3 linked regions of the Kluyveromyces lactis genome follow. The main gene of each other region encodes a partner of the protein of the gene in region 3 in a complex. Links are inferred from orthologs where the notes say so. Each region holds a gene or a part of one and is shown on either strand. Other genes may lie near its edges. The genes, in order: SEA4, MTC5 and RTC1.

Region 1 (6,281 bases), about 1.3 Mb from region 3:
GATTGGATATGATCAACATCTCTAATTGCAGTAACACCGATAGTCAGAGTACCTGATAGTTGTTTTCTCCTAAACTTTGGTTGAGTTGCTTCTTCTGTGTGATCATTGAAAGGATCGATATCAACGTTGATGGCCTGATATTTTTTCAATGATTTTGTTAAGAGCTGAATCCTGTGTTTAGATTCAACAGATCCACCTTGTGCAGCACTGCTACTCCGCTGGTCTCCATCAATTTGGTAGAGTTTAGTTAACTTATCATTAGCCTCTTGATATTGCTTTTCAACTTGCAATTTGAACTCCAACTGCTGGAGCATGTATTGAATTCTTTGCGACAAAGATGGACAATCGTACTTTACCAGATCTAGTCTAGAGTATCTAAACTCATCTGGTGATATTGTAGATAGCTGACCAAAACCGGGATGATTGCTAGCATTCTGGCTGGTAGGAGTATTGTCTGGCTGTTGACTGACTCTCAACTTAGCTAGAATTTGTTCCAAGTACTCTATATTTTGTTGAGCCTCTCTAATATTGGTGTTGCATTTCTGTATGACCATGACATTATCAGTCTTTTTCTTCAATTGATTCGAACCCAGTATAATGTTTCTTTCCCTTTCGATCTTTTTGTAGATGTCCTGTTCAACAGGGAATGCAGTGTGTTTACGATCTTCATCCATAGTTTCATACAATAGTAATATCTTTTTATGCTCAGTTCAGAGTGTTCATACGTTAGATGGCTAGTTGGTGCCTTATAAGTTCATGAAATAGAATCAACGCACCACTTTGACAGGATCTGATCTGAAACAATTTCAAGCTGTGTTCGCCCAGAATACCAATATTTTAAGATCCCAAACCACTGAGAAAAAAATGTTTGTAAGAGAAATATTCAACGAAAAAAAAAGTCCCAACTAAACTGACTTAATAAACCGTTGTTTATAGTCGTTCTTTCCTTTAGTTTTTGGTATCCTTAAAGATATTGTTGAGATCAAAAAAAACCATATATTTGTTTGTATCTGGATAGATCAAACTTTTTATTTTCTTAGTTTCGCCACATGATTTCCTGAAATAGAGCTCACGCATTTCAACTGATCGGGGAATCTTAACTAGTCACGTGAAGAGGCTTGCGCTCATGCGAATGACGGTGGGCAATGATGGAAAAGATGGCTTTAAGTTCCATCGCTGAACCACGGTCCATCCTATAACTCGATGAATATGCTCGGGGAAGTTTTCCAAGTATGGTACTGCGTTGCTAGTATCATTATTTTGTGGATGCGTAATGATTCATTCTGAAAGCAACGTTCAGCCGCTTGATATCTGCATATGAGATATTTGTATGTACTAATAGTGGGAGAAATGAGTTTTTGGCGAGGTTAAGGATTAAAGAGATTATATACGCTGAATAACAAGTTTAATGATTTATCCTAGAGCGTTTAGGTCCGAAATATTGGTAGAGTGTTTCATTGATGGCATAAACACGAACACCCAGGAACAGGACAAATTGAATGTCTTTCAAACCATTCCTCTGCATGACCGGCATGCATACCATGATTACACTTGAGACAGAAACTGAACCATTCGTTCATTTTCAAACGCTTTCTTTCCTTGACCTCGTTAATTTTCGCGTCGTCATCGATTCGTACTTCACATGAGTTGGTGGTGCCATTGATGACTATGGGGAGATTTGAAGTACCCAATGGCAAGAGACAAATAGCACATCTTGGGAAAGGCGTGCCACAATGTGGACATGAATGTTTCTGTTGGGGGACATCACCGTTTGTATTATTGAGGCCGAATTTCTTTCCTGCATTTAAGTTTTGATTAGCATGTCTTGGTAGGGATGCATTAGAAGACACATCAATGGGTCTGTTGATATTCTTCTTACATTTGGAACATTGTAAATACATTTGACGAGGTTTTAACTTCGCTGTAATTCGACCATCACTAGTCCTAGATAATTTTGTCTTGAGCACATCGAACTTGGCCCTCATAGTGAAAAATTCCCAGGAATTTAACATATGGCGATATGTTTCAACCCATTCATCAACTCTTGGGTCCATGAAGTATCTTGGGGAGCCGAAAACTGAAATTAGTGCAGCAGTTTGAATATCACTAGTCTTTCCAACGTACGATTGTAGAAGATCAATACCATTAGGCGTTATACCAGTCAAGATCAATCCTTCTAGTTCACCATTTTCAATAACAGTAGTAGCAGTTTTTTCTAAAAATCTGGTTAGATCTGTGTCATTTAGAAATCTAAGAGCAACACCAAGCCTTTCCCTTAGAGAGATAGCGCTCTCATACAGGATATCCCACCAATCATTGTCTGCAATGAATGCAAAAATGACTCTCAAATAGGGATCATCAAGCTCAGCAGCCATTTTTCTACATTGCTGTCTCCATGCATTGTCACCTGGCTTTTCACTATAAGCTTGATAACCTGCAATGGCCGCAGCAATGAGTCTAAGACGTTCTTTATTTGCAGATCCCAAAATAGATATAGCTTTCTGAACGTCACCGAAGAAGACAGCCCAGGCAGCAGCTTTCTCATAGTGATTTTGAGCTATTAGTGATTTATATTTTTCTTCGTAATCTGAAGGAGACAAATCCCAGCCACTAATAATCATACAGAGTCTTCTCTGAATGGCCTTTTTTGATGACATTTCGGAATTTAAACTGGAAACATTCCCAATTTTGTTTTTACTCTTGCTTCTCATCTTAATGATCTTCTCCAATTCCTTGTTTAACTGCTTTTCTGTGAGCATTCCTCCAGATCTATAACGATTCTGATTGGAGAGACCTTCAAGACCATTCCATATCCCTAAAACGCCTTCGTAGCCTAAATCTAAGTCTCCTGAAACCATTGTTCCGTCAGCTATGGATGCCTTCGCTATCGCCATCCATCTCCAAGTATTGCGAATGTAGATATTGTTATTGAAGTTATCGGATTTATCCATCATTTCGACAGTTTTCATTGGATCAAGACCATATCCCAGACTCGCGCGTTTACGCATTATAAAACTTATATCATTCTGTAACAGCTTCTCTGCCTCGATGTAAAACTCTTTAACGTCTTCAGAATCACTCAAGTAATCGCCGTCATCTTCCATACTTCCGGATGATTTTTTTTCATCCAGAGTTAATATCTTCAAGTCATCTCCTGTATCCAGGTCTTCGAAAGACAAGTTTTTTAGCCCGGTATCTAAATTTTCCAGCAATGAAACTTCATCCTCACCTGTTATTCTCAATTCGTTGACATCATTGTTTTGATCTGAGATAGACATTATGCTATTGTAGTTATTGATTTTCGATTGTGAAAATCCTTGTTCGACATTCATCCGATAGATAGTTCCGGATTGTCTCATGCATAGAAGACTTGTTCTGCCAGTACTCTTGGGTATATAATCGAAGGTAACAACACGATCAAAAGTCGTTTTAATGTCATTCACCGTGGAAACGAACAAGGAATCATTTAGTTCGTTATTCGACTCTAAATCTGGTACGTTGGCCAATCTCCAGCGTTTAATTGTAGTGCCTGCGTGTAATGTCGAAAACTCTCCACTTCTCAATGGAGACCATCTGAAACATGAATTCATATATTTTCTAGAAGCTGCACCATGACCAACAAGTTTGTCAAATTTAAGTAATGGTTGTGCCTCCAAAAACTCAGTGTCTTCAGAGTTACTTGCTAGCTTTCTTCTATCCCAAAAGGCCAACGTACCATCGTCAGCATATGTTGAGAATTGCCAAGGGTTAAAAGGATTTATCTTGATGTCATATGAGACACGAGTTGGATGCTGGTATATAGGATTAGGAGCTCTAAGGTCAATTTCTTTCAAGAGTTTTGAACTTGCAGCTAAGATGCTGGTATCGTCGACAAATTTCAATGACACGATACTTTCGTTCAAACAATATGAAAAAGATGGTGTGATAACATTTGATTCCGTGCTTTGGTAGTTTACATCCCACACCTGTACAGAGGCATCATGCTTATTGCGATCTAAACCCATGGCTATTAGGCCATTTGTATTTATACTCAAACTGTTGATAGTTCGCTGGTGCTTTGCTCGTACTCGTAGATCGAACGGCTCGTATGCATCGTCCGTATCCAAAATATTAAATAACCGTACAACACCGCTTTTCTCACCGACACCTACTATACCTTCATCTGTATTAGAGTAATCTAGACATGTTATATTTCCAAAGTCCTTTACTGTATTCACCTTAACGATGGACTCGTCTGTCTCCACATCCAGCTTCACTCGGTAATGAGAAACTTCATCTCTTGTAGGATTAACAGACAAAAAATCCAACCCTTCCACATTTGGCCAACAAGGAACGCGTTTAATCAAGCCCATGAAGTAATACTGGTGGATTGGCCTCGACAGATGCTTTACTACATTGAATACCGTAATATTATTTGATGCATCTTATCACTCATTCTGAAGTTATCTTGAAATAATTTACCGTATATAGTTTTATTACCCGGATATATGTACATAGGAACAGGAGAGTTAAGTACTGAGTGAACGAAAACTTGATGGATAATTCAGTCACGTAGTAGTCCTTTCAATTGTCTTTCCTGTTTGATCGATAAATCTTCAACATCAGCTAGTCCTTCGCGTGCAAGTATTTTCCGGCCCTTCCAATTAACCTCTTCTACTTGATGTGTTCTCTCATCTATATCGAAATCGTCATGTAATAAAGTATGTACATCTAACTCATCAATCTTAGATAAAAGTTTGTTAAGATCGTTGATGAGCTTAGATCCCATTATTACCAGTGATCTCGGTGACCTCTCATTGGATGTTATTTTCACTATATTTCCAACAAATTCATCCTTGAATTCTTGGACAGATAAGTATTCATCATTTTCAAGCCTGGAGCTAATGTAAGGTATGACCTTGAAATTTGAAGATGATTCGAGGTCTGCAAAAGATTTAAAAGATAAAGTCTTTGTGAGATTGTTCCACACAACATCCTTCAATATATACCTTATCGGATGGAACGCAATGTCGTTTATGATCCTTTGGTTTCTTACCCTTTCAACATTACATTCTTGTTTAGCCACCAAAGATGATGCAAGACCTTCCAATGAATTGAGGTCTCTCAAAAGAACTTCTGAGAATACGATTCTGTCATTTAGCTCTTCGGTATCTAGAGTATTCAAAGAAGATGGGCTGAACTTTCTTACCAAAGGAGCGCCTCTTTTGAGTTCTCTTTTCATTGTCCAGTACTTGCATATATCCAACGAAATTTGCTCGGAATTTGGAACATGAAATCTGTTTAAAACTCTCATTGTAATATCTGCGAAGGCTTGAGGTGCAATTAAAGTTCCCCTACTGGTTTTCCATTTATTCTTAATGGTTTTCTTGGCAGATTGCTTGTTTTCTTCCACGGCACTGTCTTGTAGCACCTTGTGATGATTAATGTGATTAAAATAATCCCTAGTTTTACGAATTCCGTCTTCACAGCTACTCCAGCCGTTAGGAGAATGTTTGTGACAAAAACTTTCCAGGAAAGCACCTGTGGAAAAGTTTTTTGAGGCAGCCTCTTGAACTGTACATCCATTGAAGTTCATGTATAATCCAGCTCTTTTAGCGCACGTAGTGTGATACGCTGCAAAACAGTTCTTATTCGAGCATTGGATGCAAGCACCGACCTCTTGTTTGCAAATATAACATGTGAGCTTCCATCGACTTTTCGGGATATTCTCTATTCCTCCAATCGGCTCCATATAGTGTAGATTTCCGAAATAAAGCTCTGGTATCCAAATTCCACATAACACATGGCCCCACGATCCGTTATCCGTTTGTTTGAAAGCTCCAGTGGTACTGGGACAAAAGAGACACTCGAGCTTTCTATTTTTGGATATCATGCATCTTCGGCAAAGCCACTGACCTTCTGGAATGAAAACTACACCATAGCATTCCTGATGTACGGCGATATCGCAACCATCGCAAAATACTATCGCATTCGAATTATCACATTCTATGCCTCCACATACTGCACACGGTTGATCCATTGGGTATCCAGTACCGTCGTCTGATCCGTATAACTCATGATGCTTCCAGGCAGCATGAGATTCATGCGTATTATTAGTAGCACTAGGTGATACTCTTGGTGGAATTTTCTTCTCTAAATGGAAAGCTTCGTTCTCTAATATCGTAATAACTATTTCGAAAACTTCGTGTGATAACTTATGCTTAGAATTTGTCAGTGCCGTATTTAAGTGCCGAAGGAATAAGTCATCTTGCTCATCCATATCATACTCTACCTTAAAATTA
Region 2 (6,429 bases), on a different chromosome or scaffold from region 3:
GCTGCCATTTGTAATAACGGTACCACAAACACTACTACCATTGAAGGTATTGCCAATCAAAGAGTCAAGGAATGTAACAGAATCGAAGCCATGGTTACACAATTAGCAAAATTCGGTGTGAGGGCTAATGAATTACCTGATGGTATTCAAATTCATGGTGTTAATTCTATCTCGGAATTGAGACAACCATCTGATGCAGGAATTGAGACTTACGACGACCATCGAGTAGCTATGTCATTCTCACTGTTGGCTGGTATGGTTAATTCTGATAAGAAGGATGATGAATCATCTGTTAGAATTTTGGAGAGACAATGTACCGGTAAAACATGGCCTGGTTGGTGGGATGTCCTACATTCTCAATTGGGTGCAAGACTTGACGGCGCTGAACCTTCAACAACAAAATCATCTGAAGTTAAAAAAAGTGTAGTCATTATAGGAATGAGAGCGGCTGGTAAAAGTACTGTCAGCAAGTGGTGTGCTGAGTCCTTGGGTTACAGGCTTCTTGATTTAGATGAGGAATTTGAAAGACAGTACGGCAAAGGTACTGTGAAAGACTTTGTAGCAGAATCTGGATGGGATGAGTTCAGAAAGGAAGAAACTAGGATATTCCAGGAAGCGGTAGACAAATACGGTGACAAGGGCTATGTGTTATCTTCTGGCGGTGGAATTGTTGAAAGATCAGAATCAAGACAGGCTTTGAAGAGGTTTGCCGAAAGCGGCGGTATCGTCCTACATCTTCACCGTGATATCGAAGAGACAATCGTTTTCCTAAAGAGCGACCCAACTAGACCAGCTTACATTGAAGAAATTCGCGATGTGTGGGAAAGAAGAGAAAAGTGGTACCATGAATGTTCGAACTTTACCTTCTTTGCGGCTCATTGCTCCAATGAAATTGAATTCAGGAATTTAAGACATGTGTTCAGCAACTTCATTCGTCGTGTACTTGGCGCTGAAAAGATTCCTGTACCTTCCAGGAGATCAGCTTTCGTCTGTTTGACTTTCGAAGACCTATCGGATCATTTGTCAAAATTGGATGAAATAACCTATGGTTGTGAAGCAGTAGAACTAAGAGTTGATCATTTATCATCCTTTTCTTCAGACTTTGTCACCAAACAAATCTCCTTGTTAAGAGCTGCAACCAAATCGCTACCTATTGTTTTCACTGTGAGAACAGTTAGCCAAGGAGGGAAATTCCAAGATGATGATTATGATTTACTTGAATCATTGTTGAAGGTCGCTCTGAAGAACGCTGTTGAATACATCGATTTAGAGTTGACATTGCCTAACAACATACTCTACAATGTTTTGAACAAGAAATCAAACACAAAGATTATTGGCTCCCATCATGATTTTGCAGCTAAATTCCCATGGGATGATGCTGAATGGGAAAATAGATATAACCAAGCTCTTTCTTTAGACGTGGACATTGTGAAGTTCGTTGGCACAGCAGTAAGCTTCGATGACAATTTGGCTTTGGAAAAATTCAGGTCCACTCATACTTTGAAGCCACTAATTGCTATCAATATGACTGAAACAGGTAAGCTATCCAGGGTGCTAAATAATATTTTGACACCTGTTACCTCCAAGTTACTACCATCCGCCGCTGCCCCTGGTCAATTGACACTAGCTGAAATCAACCAATTGTATCACCAAATCGGTGGATTACCAGCCAAGAAGTTCTTTGTTATTGGTTCTCCAATTGGACATTCCAGATCTCCGATCTTGCACAACACTGGGTATGAGCTACTAGGCTTACCTCATCATTTTGATAAATTCGAAACTGAAGATATCGAAGTAGTTAAGAAAGAACTTTTGACCAGAGAAGATCTCGGTGGCTTAGCTGTAACCATCCCATTAAAACTAGATATTATTGATAGTATGTTTGAATTGAGCGAAGCCGCAAAGACCATTGGCGCTGTAAACACTGTTATTCCTTTAGGAAAGAACAAATTCAGGGGTGACAATACTGATTGGTTAGGTATCAAAAACTCTTTGGTTTCAAATGGTGTTCCTAGTTCTGTTAGTGGTTCTGCAGGTCTGATTATCGGTGCTGGTGGTACTTCAAGAGCTGCTATATACGCTTTGAAACAAATTGGTTGTGACACCATTTATATGCTCAACAGAACCACGGAGAAACTACAAAAGCTGAAATCCGAATTTTCCGAAGAATATAAGATTGTTGTCGTCGAATCTGCCGAACAAACAGAGTCAATTAAGGAACAAGTTTCTGTTGCTGTTTCTTGTGTTCCAGCTGATAAGCCTTTAGATCCAGAGTTACTAAACAAATTGGAAAGACTTTTGGCAAAAGGTACAAATAGCTCCTTCAAACCAACCTTGTTAGATGCCGCATATAAGCCTTCAGTGACCCCTATCATGAAGCTCGCACGTGATAAGTTCAACTGGAATATCGTTCCGGGCGCTGAAATGTTGGTTCATCAAGGTGTGGAACAATTTTCTAAATGGACAGGTGCAAAACCACCATTTAAAGCTATCTTTGATGCAGTTACCCAAGAATAGATAAAACATTAGATACATTTAAACTTCAAATAACGTCACGAATGATTAATAATAGCTTTCTAACTCCCCTTTTTATGTATGTCTAATCCACTATTTGTTAATATTCCTTAAAGCATTATTAACTGTTGATAGGAAAAAATGAATCATGAATATATAATGAAACAAAGCACAATTCAATAGGAAACATCATTCGTATATTGAATTCTAGTAAGGTTCGTGTTTTTTAGAGGTTTCGATATAAGCCACACTTTGAGATTGAATGTCTGAATACGTAGGGGAAGGTCCTTACTCATCACCAACCTTCGGGAAATCACTTTCTCTTCGGGTTGATGGTGGATTTAATGCTGTTTCTATCAATCCATCTGGTAGAGATGTCGTATTAGCCAGTCGAAAGGGCCTTTATGTGGTAGACTTGGATGATCCTTTCTCAGAGCCTCGATGGTTACACCATCTCACGTCTTGGGAGGTTGCTGACGTGCAGTGGTGCCCGCATCCGGCCAAGCATCACTGGGTTATATCTACGTCGAATCAAAAAGCAATTGTATGGAATCTATCTAGAAGCTCTTCTAAAGCAGTGGAGCATGTATTACATGGCCATTTCAGAGCCATTACAGATATAAATTTCCACCCGTTGCAACCAGAAATCCTAGCTACTAGTTCAATTGATACTTACGCCCTGGCTTGGGATATGAGAAGCCCCAAGAAGCCTTATTTTAGAACCAGTAACTGGAGATCTGGTGCTGCACAAGTCAAATGGAATCACAAAAATTCCAATGTATTAGCAACCTCGCACTCGAATATCGTGTATGTTTGGGATGTAAGAAAGGGTACATCTCCGTTATCTGTATTAGAAGGTCATAGCGGAAGCGTTAATAGCATCGACTTCAATCCATTCAACGAAACCGAAATCATGTCAAGTGGGAATGACGGAACGGTAAAGTTCTGGGATTATAATAAAGTTGAAGATGAACTACAGATGACAATTACCACAGAGTTTCCTGTGTGGAGAGGACGATATCTCCCGTTTGGGGACGGATATTGCATCATGCCGATGATAGGAGGAAATAATTCTGTATATTTGGCGAACTCTTTTCATGACTCAGGCAATTCTGAGTCAAGGACTACCAAACTACAGCCAACGTACGTTTTCAAGGGGCATACAGATAGAGTCACGGACTTCTTATGGAGATCGAGGCACAGTCAAAATACCATCATTGATGACAGAGAATTCCAATTGGTTACTTGGTCCAAAGATTGCGATTTAAGACTATGGCCAGTACCCGATATGGTTTACGACAAAGTTCACTACGAATGTGGCAAAGAGCTGCCGGAGAAGCTACCAGATTATGATTACGACACTTTTAGATCAGAACCTGAAAATAATATAGTAGATCCCCGGTACACAAATATAGAAATTCCGAAGGAAACCTTTGTTACAAAATCCGGACTACGCCAATGGAAAGCTGACAACAATATAGATCAACTACAATGGATTTCGGGTGTGAGAATGCATAACGAAGATTCACCGCATGATCTATTTGAAGAGGTGAGTTTAAACAATCTTGGAGAAGAAGTCACTTCCGTTGGGCACAAGTTCCCTAGAATTGTTTTTGAAAAAATTTCGGTTTCGACAGGAGAGTTAATTATTACTTTAAATGGTCCATGGGTGGAAGAAGATCCAGAAAAATACATTTTCATGCGTATTATTATTAACTTCCCGCCAAACTACCCCATGAAAGGAAATGAACCTGCGTTCAAGATTGAAGAGAACAGGGAATTAAAAGAACATCAAAAAACTCAGATAATGGAACGACTAAGAGAAATCAGCAAAAAATATGTCGATGCAAATCGATATTGCCTTGAGCCGTGTTTACAGTACCTACTTGGAGAAGAAGTTAACTTGGATATTTCCGACATGGAGGACGACAATAAAATTTTCAGCTTTGATTTCGAAGATGTAACTTCTTTAGATAGATCATCTTTGGGTTCATCTGATGATCATAGCGATGCTCCTACAGAGATTTCTTCTGTATCAGATGTTGAATTCGCTGTCGGGGATGGTTCTTTGCAATTGTATTCTAGTACACCAGAACCAAAATTTGATAGCACACCTGTCCCCAACGGTTGTGGAGCAGTTTGGACCGCTCAAGGAACCCTTGTTTGCTTCTTTAGAGCTGAGAATAAAACTGAAAAAAAGCAACACGCCATAATCAATGTTGGTAGAACTGGTATTGGAGGTTTTGTGAGATCAAAAAATGTCCAGAGTGCGTCACAAACTTTGAAGGATAACGTATCGGGAAAACAAAGAAAGCCAAAAACTTATAGAGAAGCGCTATCCATAAACTCACAACATGCCAGTGAATCACTAAATCAATCATCAGATTCGGATTCAGATGATAGTGATGATAGCTATGCTGAGTTCTTGGATGATATATTGAAAAATGATCTCACACTAAGGACTAGGATGCCAATGATGCCACGCATATTCCGTGATGAGACGAAATCTACTACGAGTGTATCCGGAAAAACCACCGATTCAAATAAAAAAAGCAAGTCATCTATAGTCGTTCAAGATTTTAAAAGTTTGATTCCCGACAAAAAAGAGCTAGCTGAACAGTATATTTTATTTCGGGAAACTCCTGAATTTGTTGCGAAGTACAATGCAGGCATTGCGGAAAGTTACGGCTATGAAGATATCGCGCAATGCTGGAGAATGATTTCTAATGTTTTAATAGGAAGAGGAGATAACGATTTCTACAATTATGATTGGGACCAGCATTCATTGGGTGGTAAACTTTTAGTGAAAAGACTATTCGAGTATTTTGAGAAGTGCCAAAATCTTCAAATGCTTGCAATGATGAGCTGCATCTTTGCTACGCTTGGAAGGCCAGATCAGAAAACAAATTATAAACTAGTTCCGCCTACTTTATCAGAAAACATCATTACATTTTATAACAATGAATACGAGCCATCGCCACATGTTCATTCCACTCACGGATCGTTCTACTCTAATGACACAGGTACACAAAATGCGAGAATGAGATATGGCACCAATCAAGCCTCATTGAACGATGGCTCTTCTATCATATCTGATGATTATTTCCATCAAAATCATCATGCTAACGGAAACAAGAACGGGAAATCCCATAATAATATGAACAATGGGTATGTAGAAACTGAAGCGACAATTCCCGATATCAAGATCAAACTAATTCATGACGATGTTTTGGATCTTGCCTACCAAGGTCTGGAACCTTCGTTGGTAGATCCGAAATGTGAAACCAAGTTCAGACAATATAGAACGCAATATGCAGAGATACTTTATATATGGGGGTTGCCTATGGATAGGGCCGAGTTGTTGAAGTTTAATGTAAATTTAAACACAGAACCTGAATACTTGCATGGGATCGAACAAGATTCGGGATTGGATATTTACAAAGGTGTATCGAATAGGTGGATTGAATCTAACCACGGACACACTCAACAAAACTGTAGCTACTGTGGCCTCAAAGCCGGTAGATTGGTGTTCGTATGCGGTAATTGTCAGCACGTGACTCACAGGACTTGCGCAGAAAAATGGTGGAAAATTGGCGATGAGTGCCCCTCTGGGTGTAGTTGCGACTGTATAAAGAACTTCGATGTCAGCGAACCACTTATATAAAATGCATCTTATGTAGCAGTGTCTTATCGTTCATCTTCTTTTAACCATCAGTCGTTGATACACCTTCTTTCCTGGGTTTTAATGATATTTAAACGAGATGATAAACCTTCCGGAATTCTGAAAGAACTAGAAAACCAAATAGATGGTGATGATGATGCGACACAAGCGAAAAATTCCAGGCTACAGGAACCGTTCCCGTCCATTAGCACTGATTTACGTATACTAGTAGCTATTGAGTACCAATAATTTCA
Region 3 (6,536 bases):
TAGCGCCACGGAAGAAAAATCATCAAAGCCAAACTCAGACGCACAATCTACCCGTTCAAGTCATACCCAGTTAGAACAGATCTGATCAATATTACGTTATCGTGAGCTGATTAACGGTAGTTTTCAATGCGAGTACCAATTGGTTGATAGATTACCTTCGAATTCTTGTACTTTCAGTGTTGTTATTTTTTTTTTCTAAGGTAAAAAACTGGACGCTCTCGTCCATAGAGCTCTTCGGCAGCCTAATGATCTTGATACAGAAGACTTCATAACACCAATATGATCGACGTTTAGGAAACTCTAGCATCTGTACGAGGTTTCTCTGAAATGAAACTTTTTTTTATTGTGTCAGTTGTAATGTATGAAATGTGACGCAAGTCGGCATACAAAAAAAAAAATTCATGATACCAAAAGGAAATAATCCTCGATAAAGTGAGGTTGAATGTGGGAATTCGAGTTAGAAACTCTAGATGTGAAATCTCTATTGGAACTCAGTATTTATGACTTTTGGAAACTTTTCAATGTACGAAAATTTTGTATAAATACAGGACAAAGTACACTGTCTTGAACACTTGAAACTTGAATAACGTATTCTCGTCTTCAAGAATGATCAAAGGTCTCATTTAGAAACGCCTAATAAGTTTAAACTTACAAAATCACCCAGTGTCGATAACAAAACTTCAAGGATCTAGCTGTCATACATCAACAATTGAAATGTCCTTAGATACAGAATCATTTGAAACTGCTGAAAAAGCAATTGAGGTAGTCACAAAGGAAATGGTATCTTTGACAAATTACTCAGCCATTGGATCATTAACCAGTCAGTTATCTCAGAATGACACTAAGTCAGGTGGAATTGAACAGAAAAAGTTACCGTTGAAACCAATATTATTGTGTCTGGCTACTTCTTTTGCAGGGTTTATCTTTGGCTGGGATGTTGGCACAATTGGTGGGATTACAAACATGGTATCATTTCAAAACTTTTTTGGTACCAACTTTGATTCTTCGAGTAATACACACTACTTTCCAAAACTTCTTATTGGATTAATCGTTTCCATTTTCAATATCAGTTGCGCACTTGGTGGATTATTTCTAGTGAAGATTGCTGATATTAATGGAAGAAAACCAGGTATTTATGCTGCAATCACTATCTATTCGTTGGGAACATTGATTGGCTGGACATGTGGCTCCTCTTGGTGGTATTTCTTCTTCGCAAGGTTCATTTCAGGACTTGGTGTTGGTGCTACTGCGGTGATGATACCAATGTTTATAGCCGAATCTGCTCCCATCAACATTCGTGGTGCCATGGTTGTGCTCTACCAGTTAATGATCACTCTTGGAATTTTGCTCGGAAATGTCATCAACTATTGTTGCAGATCCACTTTACACGAAACAGATAATGCCACATGGAAGATCCCTGTAGGATTAGGAAACGTCTGGGCCGCTATCGTCGCGCTAGGTGTTCATTTTATGCCTGAATCACCAGTTTTTCTTACCAAGAGGTTAGGAAGCGCTCTCAAAGCTAAGGCAGCTTTTGCCCATATGAACAATTTGGACGTAGATGATCCAATTGTGGATAGTCATATTAGGAAGATGATGGAATCAGCTGACGCGGAGGTATCTACTCACAATGATATGAAGAACAGCAGGTTTGAATTCATACTCGGTCAACCAAGATTAGGTTTTAGACTATTTATTGGTATTATGGTGATGGCGTTTCAACAGCTATCCGGTGCAAATTACTTCTTCTATTATGGTACAACACTTTTCAACTCTGTGGGAATTGAAGACCCATACTTAACGTCGATTTTATTGTCTTCTGTCAACTTCATATCTACCTTTTTCGGTATTTATTTAGTTGAAAAGTTAGGCAGAAAAGCATGCTTAATTCTTGGTTCCGCGGGTATGTTTACCTGTATGTCCGTGTATGCGTCAGTCGGATCGTTCGCACTTAATAAGTCGCCTCAAAACTCTGGTGCGATTATGGTTACCTTCACGTGTGTTTACATCATGTTCTTTGCATGCACATCGGGACCTGTGTCCTTTGTCGTCATTTCGGAGTTGTTTCCAAGCAGGACAAAAGCGATATCCATGGCAGTGTGTACCTCAATCAATTGGCTTTGCAACTTCTTCATTTCTTTATGCACACCATATGTCACTGATAAGATAGGCTTCAAGTTTGGGTTCGTTTTTGCTGGTTGTCTATTTGTCTCATTCTGGTTCTTCACTTTCTTATTGAAGGAAACTAAGAACAAAACTCCTGAACAGGTTGACGCATTGTATTCTATTGACAAGCAATAGGCAATGGACCATACAGGTATACTTCTACAAACAAAGAAATTTACAATGAGCTCAACTGTTCACATAATCTACTGAAGCCTCCCGATTTCTCTGTTCGAGTGTGCGCTTGAATCGCTCTCCTTCATATAATTTCACTGTGTAAAACCTATTAACTTTCTCATTACGTATCATTTTACAAGTGTCTCAATGGCATTAAATTTGTAATTATTTCAGAAGAATTTTAATAACAAGGCATTTCTGTCTCCCAGCCCTGTGATATCTTAATACTTCTATTTACTCTTGTGTTGTTTTATCGGGCTCTCACTTATCAATCACCGAAGATGATTCCTGATTCCTCATATATTTACTCAACAAGAAAAAAAGGAAGAGATGGCAATATGTAATTGAAAATATGAAAGCACTCACATACTATGATTCAAAAATCCAGCAATTGGTTGTAAGCCAAATAAACCGGTGATCGAGAGCACTGAGTATTGTTGCTCAACGATGTTTAAAAGAGGTTCAAACAGAGCTACTTCGTCTTCTCAAGGGCAGCAACCAGAAAATCCTCCCTCTCTGAAATATCAGTCGTCAAGTTCACGATACTCTTTTCATCGACAGTACAACACAGGTTTTGGAACTTCACCTTTTAGGATATCACCTAAGTATAAACCAGATAGCCGCACTCCCTTCAGTTTTGATGGTACGGGAAATGTTGGACCAGAGAGCTCTCTTAATGAAGAAGAATCAAATGCAAGATGGAGACCTTCTGAAAGTTCATTTGACAAACGTAGAACTTTCCACGGCGCTAAATACTCTCTGAGTATCGGAAAGGAAGTCTCAAGTATAGATAAAATCAATTCACCGGAGAGCAGATCCTTGATAATAGCAGGAAAAAGCCATTTAGGTATTTACACTTTCGATGAAGATTCTAAGACGATAACTAATGTACATGATTTCTTACAGACAGCGAAGACAAATACTGGGATCACGAAGAACACTTCATCGACACTACGGAGAACAACAAAAAAAATTTCAACCATATCTGATGTTAAAGCTGGCTTTTACAATCACAAAAACTATGTAGCAATTTGTGGTACTTCAACGTCTGTTGCGATTTACGATATTAATAAGACATCAGCGATAGACAATCCAGTTGTAACATCTCTCTCAGAACATACAAGATCTATCAATAGTGTGGATTTCAATATGGTGCAGACAAGCTTATTAATTAGCGGTGGACAAGATGGATGCATAAAGATTTGGGATTTGAGATCTCCTAAAATCTCCACCACTAGGAGTGATGTAAGTATCAACACCGGGTCTGATTCCATTAGAGACGTAAAATGGATGCCTTCTTACGAGTTTTCTAATGATACCAATGGTCTTTCAAACAGACATTTCAAATTTGCCAGTGTGCATGACTCTGGATTATTATTGAAGTTTGATTTGAGACAACCAAACCAAGCTGAAAAAAAGATTAATGCACATTCTGGTCCCGCCTTATGTTTGAATTGGCATCCGCATCAGGACTACATTATTAGTGGTGGAAGAGACGGAAAATGTTGCTTGTGGTATGTAGGCGACAAATCTAATCAAGTTGGTAACATTAGTAGTACCAACCTCAATTCAAGTAATCCAGCAACGCATAATTTATCATCATCATACCCCTTGGGGCTATCCAACACCCTTGCATTTCCTGAGCTCACAATAAATACCGCTCGTTCCATGAATAAACTTAAGTTTCGTCCAAAATATGAGACGAATGTATTCAATTCATTGATTGGGACTTCATCCATGGGCGAAGATTCGGATGTATCTGTTTATTCGCTAGCAAGAAAATATATTCCTAAAAACGTTATTGCTTCCAGTGCACCTTCTGTTGGTTTTGTCTGGTGGGATGACGACACGATATTCAATATAGACAAGCAAAATACCGTTACTGGGTGGGATATCTCTCATGAACCGACTGTACTTGATAATTTGCCGAAAAACACAATAAAATGGAGAGATTTGGATGGCGATGGTATTCTGTTTTTGGACCAAAAACCAGGTGGGTATTTGTCTCAAGAAGAGACAGTTTTGACACCAGGTAGTGGAGAGAATCGCAAGATGCCTTTCACACACAGAATGAGTAGTGCAACTGCTAACAGTTTTACTGGAGGAAATAATCCTAACATTACAAGCAACACAAGTAGCAGTGCCGCAAGTTTCTCAAAAAACCCGACACTTGGCATGTCTCAACTTCACCAGGGCAACGTATTAGGTGAAAGGTCAACTATGTCAAAGCATGCACAATCCGTTAACAGCAAATTTTCGCCTTCGGTTAACAGCTCGCCGTGGACCAATCCGTATTCGTCCCCTCATCATAACTCAATCGTGTCAGGATCGGAATCGGCATTACATGCGGTTAATGATTCCTTTCTACAATCTCCATATTTGATAGGATTAGACTTTCCGCATATTTTGAACACAATACGGAACACTAGGCTCGCAGAATTTAACAGAAAGGTCGAAAGTGCAGCTTTATTAGAATTAAAGTCATCTCCAACTGAAGTTTTCAAGTTTTTAGCACGGGAATTGAAGTTTTCGTATAAATATAACAGTATTGAAACAAAAGACAACGGCCGAGAGCTTGATTCATCGAGCACACATGGCTCAGTGGATTCTAAAACGAATTTGATGGAAAAGTTGGGGTTATCTGAAAATAATACTTGGACTCATTTGATCAAATATACGAAATCTCACGACTCTGACGAAGTCATATCGAAAGGCACAGAGCTTAAAACACCAGTTTCTGACAAAAGTGCTAATATCGAAAAATCAGCTACGAATCATAAAGCTGAAACCAATCAGGATGAGAACAGTTCCTGCATCAACTCTTCAAACCAGGTAAAAACCAAAAACCTCATCGAACTGATAACTCTATGTGATAAGAACGCTGAAATTTATATCATGCTTGAGGACTTTTCAAACTACAAAATTTGGCTTCTAATGCGGGATTCATTATTATGGGACTTGAAAGTCCTAACCGAGTCAATGGCTGTTGACGTGACAGCTGACCAAGAAGTCAACGATCAATCGTCCATTGACCAACCTTGGAAAAAAAATGACAGTTTTACTAGCTTGAAAGAGGCAAGGCAAGCATCTGTTGCTAGTGGCTACAGTTCATATAGTGCTACGGATCTGAGCTCCTCGGTAAATACAAATAATAGACATTCTTTCAACGAACCCACTCATCTAACCCAAACTCCTCCAGTATCACATTTAAAGGCTCAACTTCAAGGTTCAAAAGAAACTACGACTATATCGAGGGCTGACTCGATTCAAAATTCGTTACAGAACGATATCATCGAAATTAGAAAGCTGCGTCAATCTCATGGAGATAGAGCAGAACTAGCAATTGATGAAGAGGAAGAAGGAGAAGAAAGAGAGGAACTTACAAAAAGGGCGTTCGAAGAAGATGAAAACAATAAACAATTCATTAATATCCCAAGAAGGGAATCAGGGCCTAGCGCTCTCATGCCGAGTCCTTCTCATGTTTCCTCACAAAGCGAAATTCCTTCAAATCCGGAAAACCATCACCAGCCACGTCGGCCGCGGACATCTTTTATAGACTCCTTCATGTCACAATTACGTTCTCCAGGATCGTCAAATGTTGATGCTGATAGGGAAAGTACTGGTAGCAAAAAATCTTCCATGCCAAGCTTTAGCTCTTCGGCTGCCACATTTTTGAATAGCAAGAAATCGCAAAACGCGAATCATAATAAATTGAAAAGCGCAACTGAAGTATCAGATATATTGGAATCTGAATTTGCTACTCAAAAATCATGGAACGGGAGCGTTGCAAAAACTACAACTCAAATGTCTGGTATTACTGCTCTTATGAATGAAACTAAAAAACTGGAAAATACTATTACCCCACCTTGGTCATCAAGGCGATTAATTCATCAATTATACGAACAGAGTGTTGCTTCAGGAAATATCCTACTAACGATGGCAATTTTGTTATTATTTCAAGATATGTTTCAACTTGTTGATACAGAGACAGTTAAGAATTCTATAGCGGAATTTACCGAATTATTGCACCGGTACGAGCTATTTGAGATTGCAGCGGAGTTGATGAAAAACTGTCCTTACGAGGATATTTCTAGTTCAAGTGCTGGCTTTTCCTCCATTCAGTTATTCTGTGATAAATGCAATAAACCTTTAGTTAACGAATCTTCCAAGGAGAAAATAATCAAAGAAAGACTTGA

The links.
Region 1: the proteins of RTC1 (region 3) and SEA4 are in contact, whole or in part, in a cryo-EM structure (PDB 8ADL), measured with the Saccharomyces cerevisiae proteins. The link is inferred for Kluyveromyces lactis from reciprocal best matches to the Saccharomyces cerevisiae genes RTC1 and SEA4. Residues at the interface, in NP_014503.2 of Saccharomyces cerevisiae: Arg705, His1212, Glu1215, Phe1217, Gly1218, Ala1221, Asp1222, Leu1224, Lys1225, Met1233, Asp1238, Gln1239, Ser1240, Ser1241, Ile1242, Arg1243, Leu1244, Phe1245, Cys1246, Glu1247, Leu1252, Phe1278, Gly1279, Tyr1280, Trp1281, Thr1291, Ser1292, Val1294, Leu1295, Cys1296; in NP_009446.2 of Saccharomyces cerevisiae: Lys842, Glu845, Phe847, Ser848, Arg850, Ala851, Arg852, Asp854, Val855, Ser858, Arg862, Leu868, Ile872, Lys873, Pro874, Arg875, Gln876, Ile877, Tyr878, Ile879, Gln880, Gln882, Gln886, Asn887, Tyr941, Phe950, Pro951, Arg952, Cys953, Ala954.
Region 2: the proteins of RTC1 (region 3) and MTC5 are in contact, whole or in part, in a cryo-EM structure (PDB 8ADL), measured with the Saccharomyces cerevisiae proteins. The link is inferred for Kluyveromyces lactis from reciprocal best matches to the Saccharomyces cerevisiae genes RTC1 and MTC5. Residues at the interface, in NP_014503.2 of Saccharomyces cerevisiae: Asp548, Cys659, Ile661, Leu663, Ile668, Phe669, Ile672, Arg673, Lys676, Ile677, Asp866, Leu867, Thr868, Lys871, Ile872, Ile874, Leu875, Asp878, Ser879, Trp882, Lys885, Trp886, Ile1154, Ala1155, Pro1157, Pro1158, Trp1159, Lys1163, Leu1164, Gln1167; in NP_010413.3 of Saccharomyces cerevisiae: Asp818, Glu819, His822, Cys823, Gln825, Ile826, Asp829, Met830, Ile832, Asp833, Gln834, Asp838, Tyr840, Thr841, Trp844, Asn845, His847, Met849, Gly850, Trp853, Phe854, Glu857, Ala858, Tyr861, Phe862, Arg864, Pro995, Ile997, Val999, Leu1001.

Annotation. Positions count from the first base shown.
Region 1 is NC_006041.1:580,481-586,761, forward strand, and holds SEA4 (Sea4p), read right to left. Parts: upstream 4,353-6,281; coding exon 1,455-4,352; downstream 1-1,454. Other genes in the region: PKC1 (protein kinase C), read right to left, coding at 1-674; NTO1 (Nto1p), read right to left, coding at 4,544-6,281. UniProt on the Saccharomyces cerevisiae protein: Component of the SEA complex which coats the vacuolar membrane and is involved in intracellular trafficking, autophagy, response to nitrogen starvation, and amino acid biogenesis.
Region 2 is NC_006042.1:1,824,052-1,830,480, forward strand, and holds MTC5 (Mtc5p), read left to right. Parts: upstream 1-2,776; coding exon 2,777-6,178; downstream 6,179-6,429. Other genes in the region: ARO1 (pentafunctional protein ARO1p), read left to right, coding at 1-2,517. UniProt on the Saccharomyces cerevisiae protein: Component of the SEA complex which coats the vacuolar membrane and is involved in intracellular trafficking, autophagy, response to nitrogen starvation, and amino acid biogenesis. May be involved in telomere capping.
Region 3 is NC_006041.1:1,869,440-1,875,975, forward strand, and holds the start of RTC1 (Rtc1p), read left to right. Parts: upstream 1-2,787; coding exon 2,788-6,536. Other genes in the region: KLLA0_E20923g (uncharacterized protein), read left to right, coding at 1-85; KLLA0_E20945g (sugar porter family MFS transporter), read left to right, coding at 715-2,301. UniProt on the Saccharomyces cerevisiae protein: Component of the SEA complex which coats the vacuolar membrane and is involved in intracellular trafficking, autophagy, response to nitrogen starvation, and amino acid biogenesis. May be involved in a process influencing telomere capping.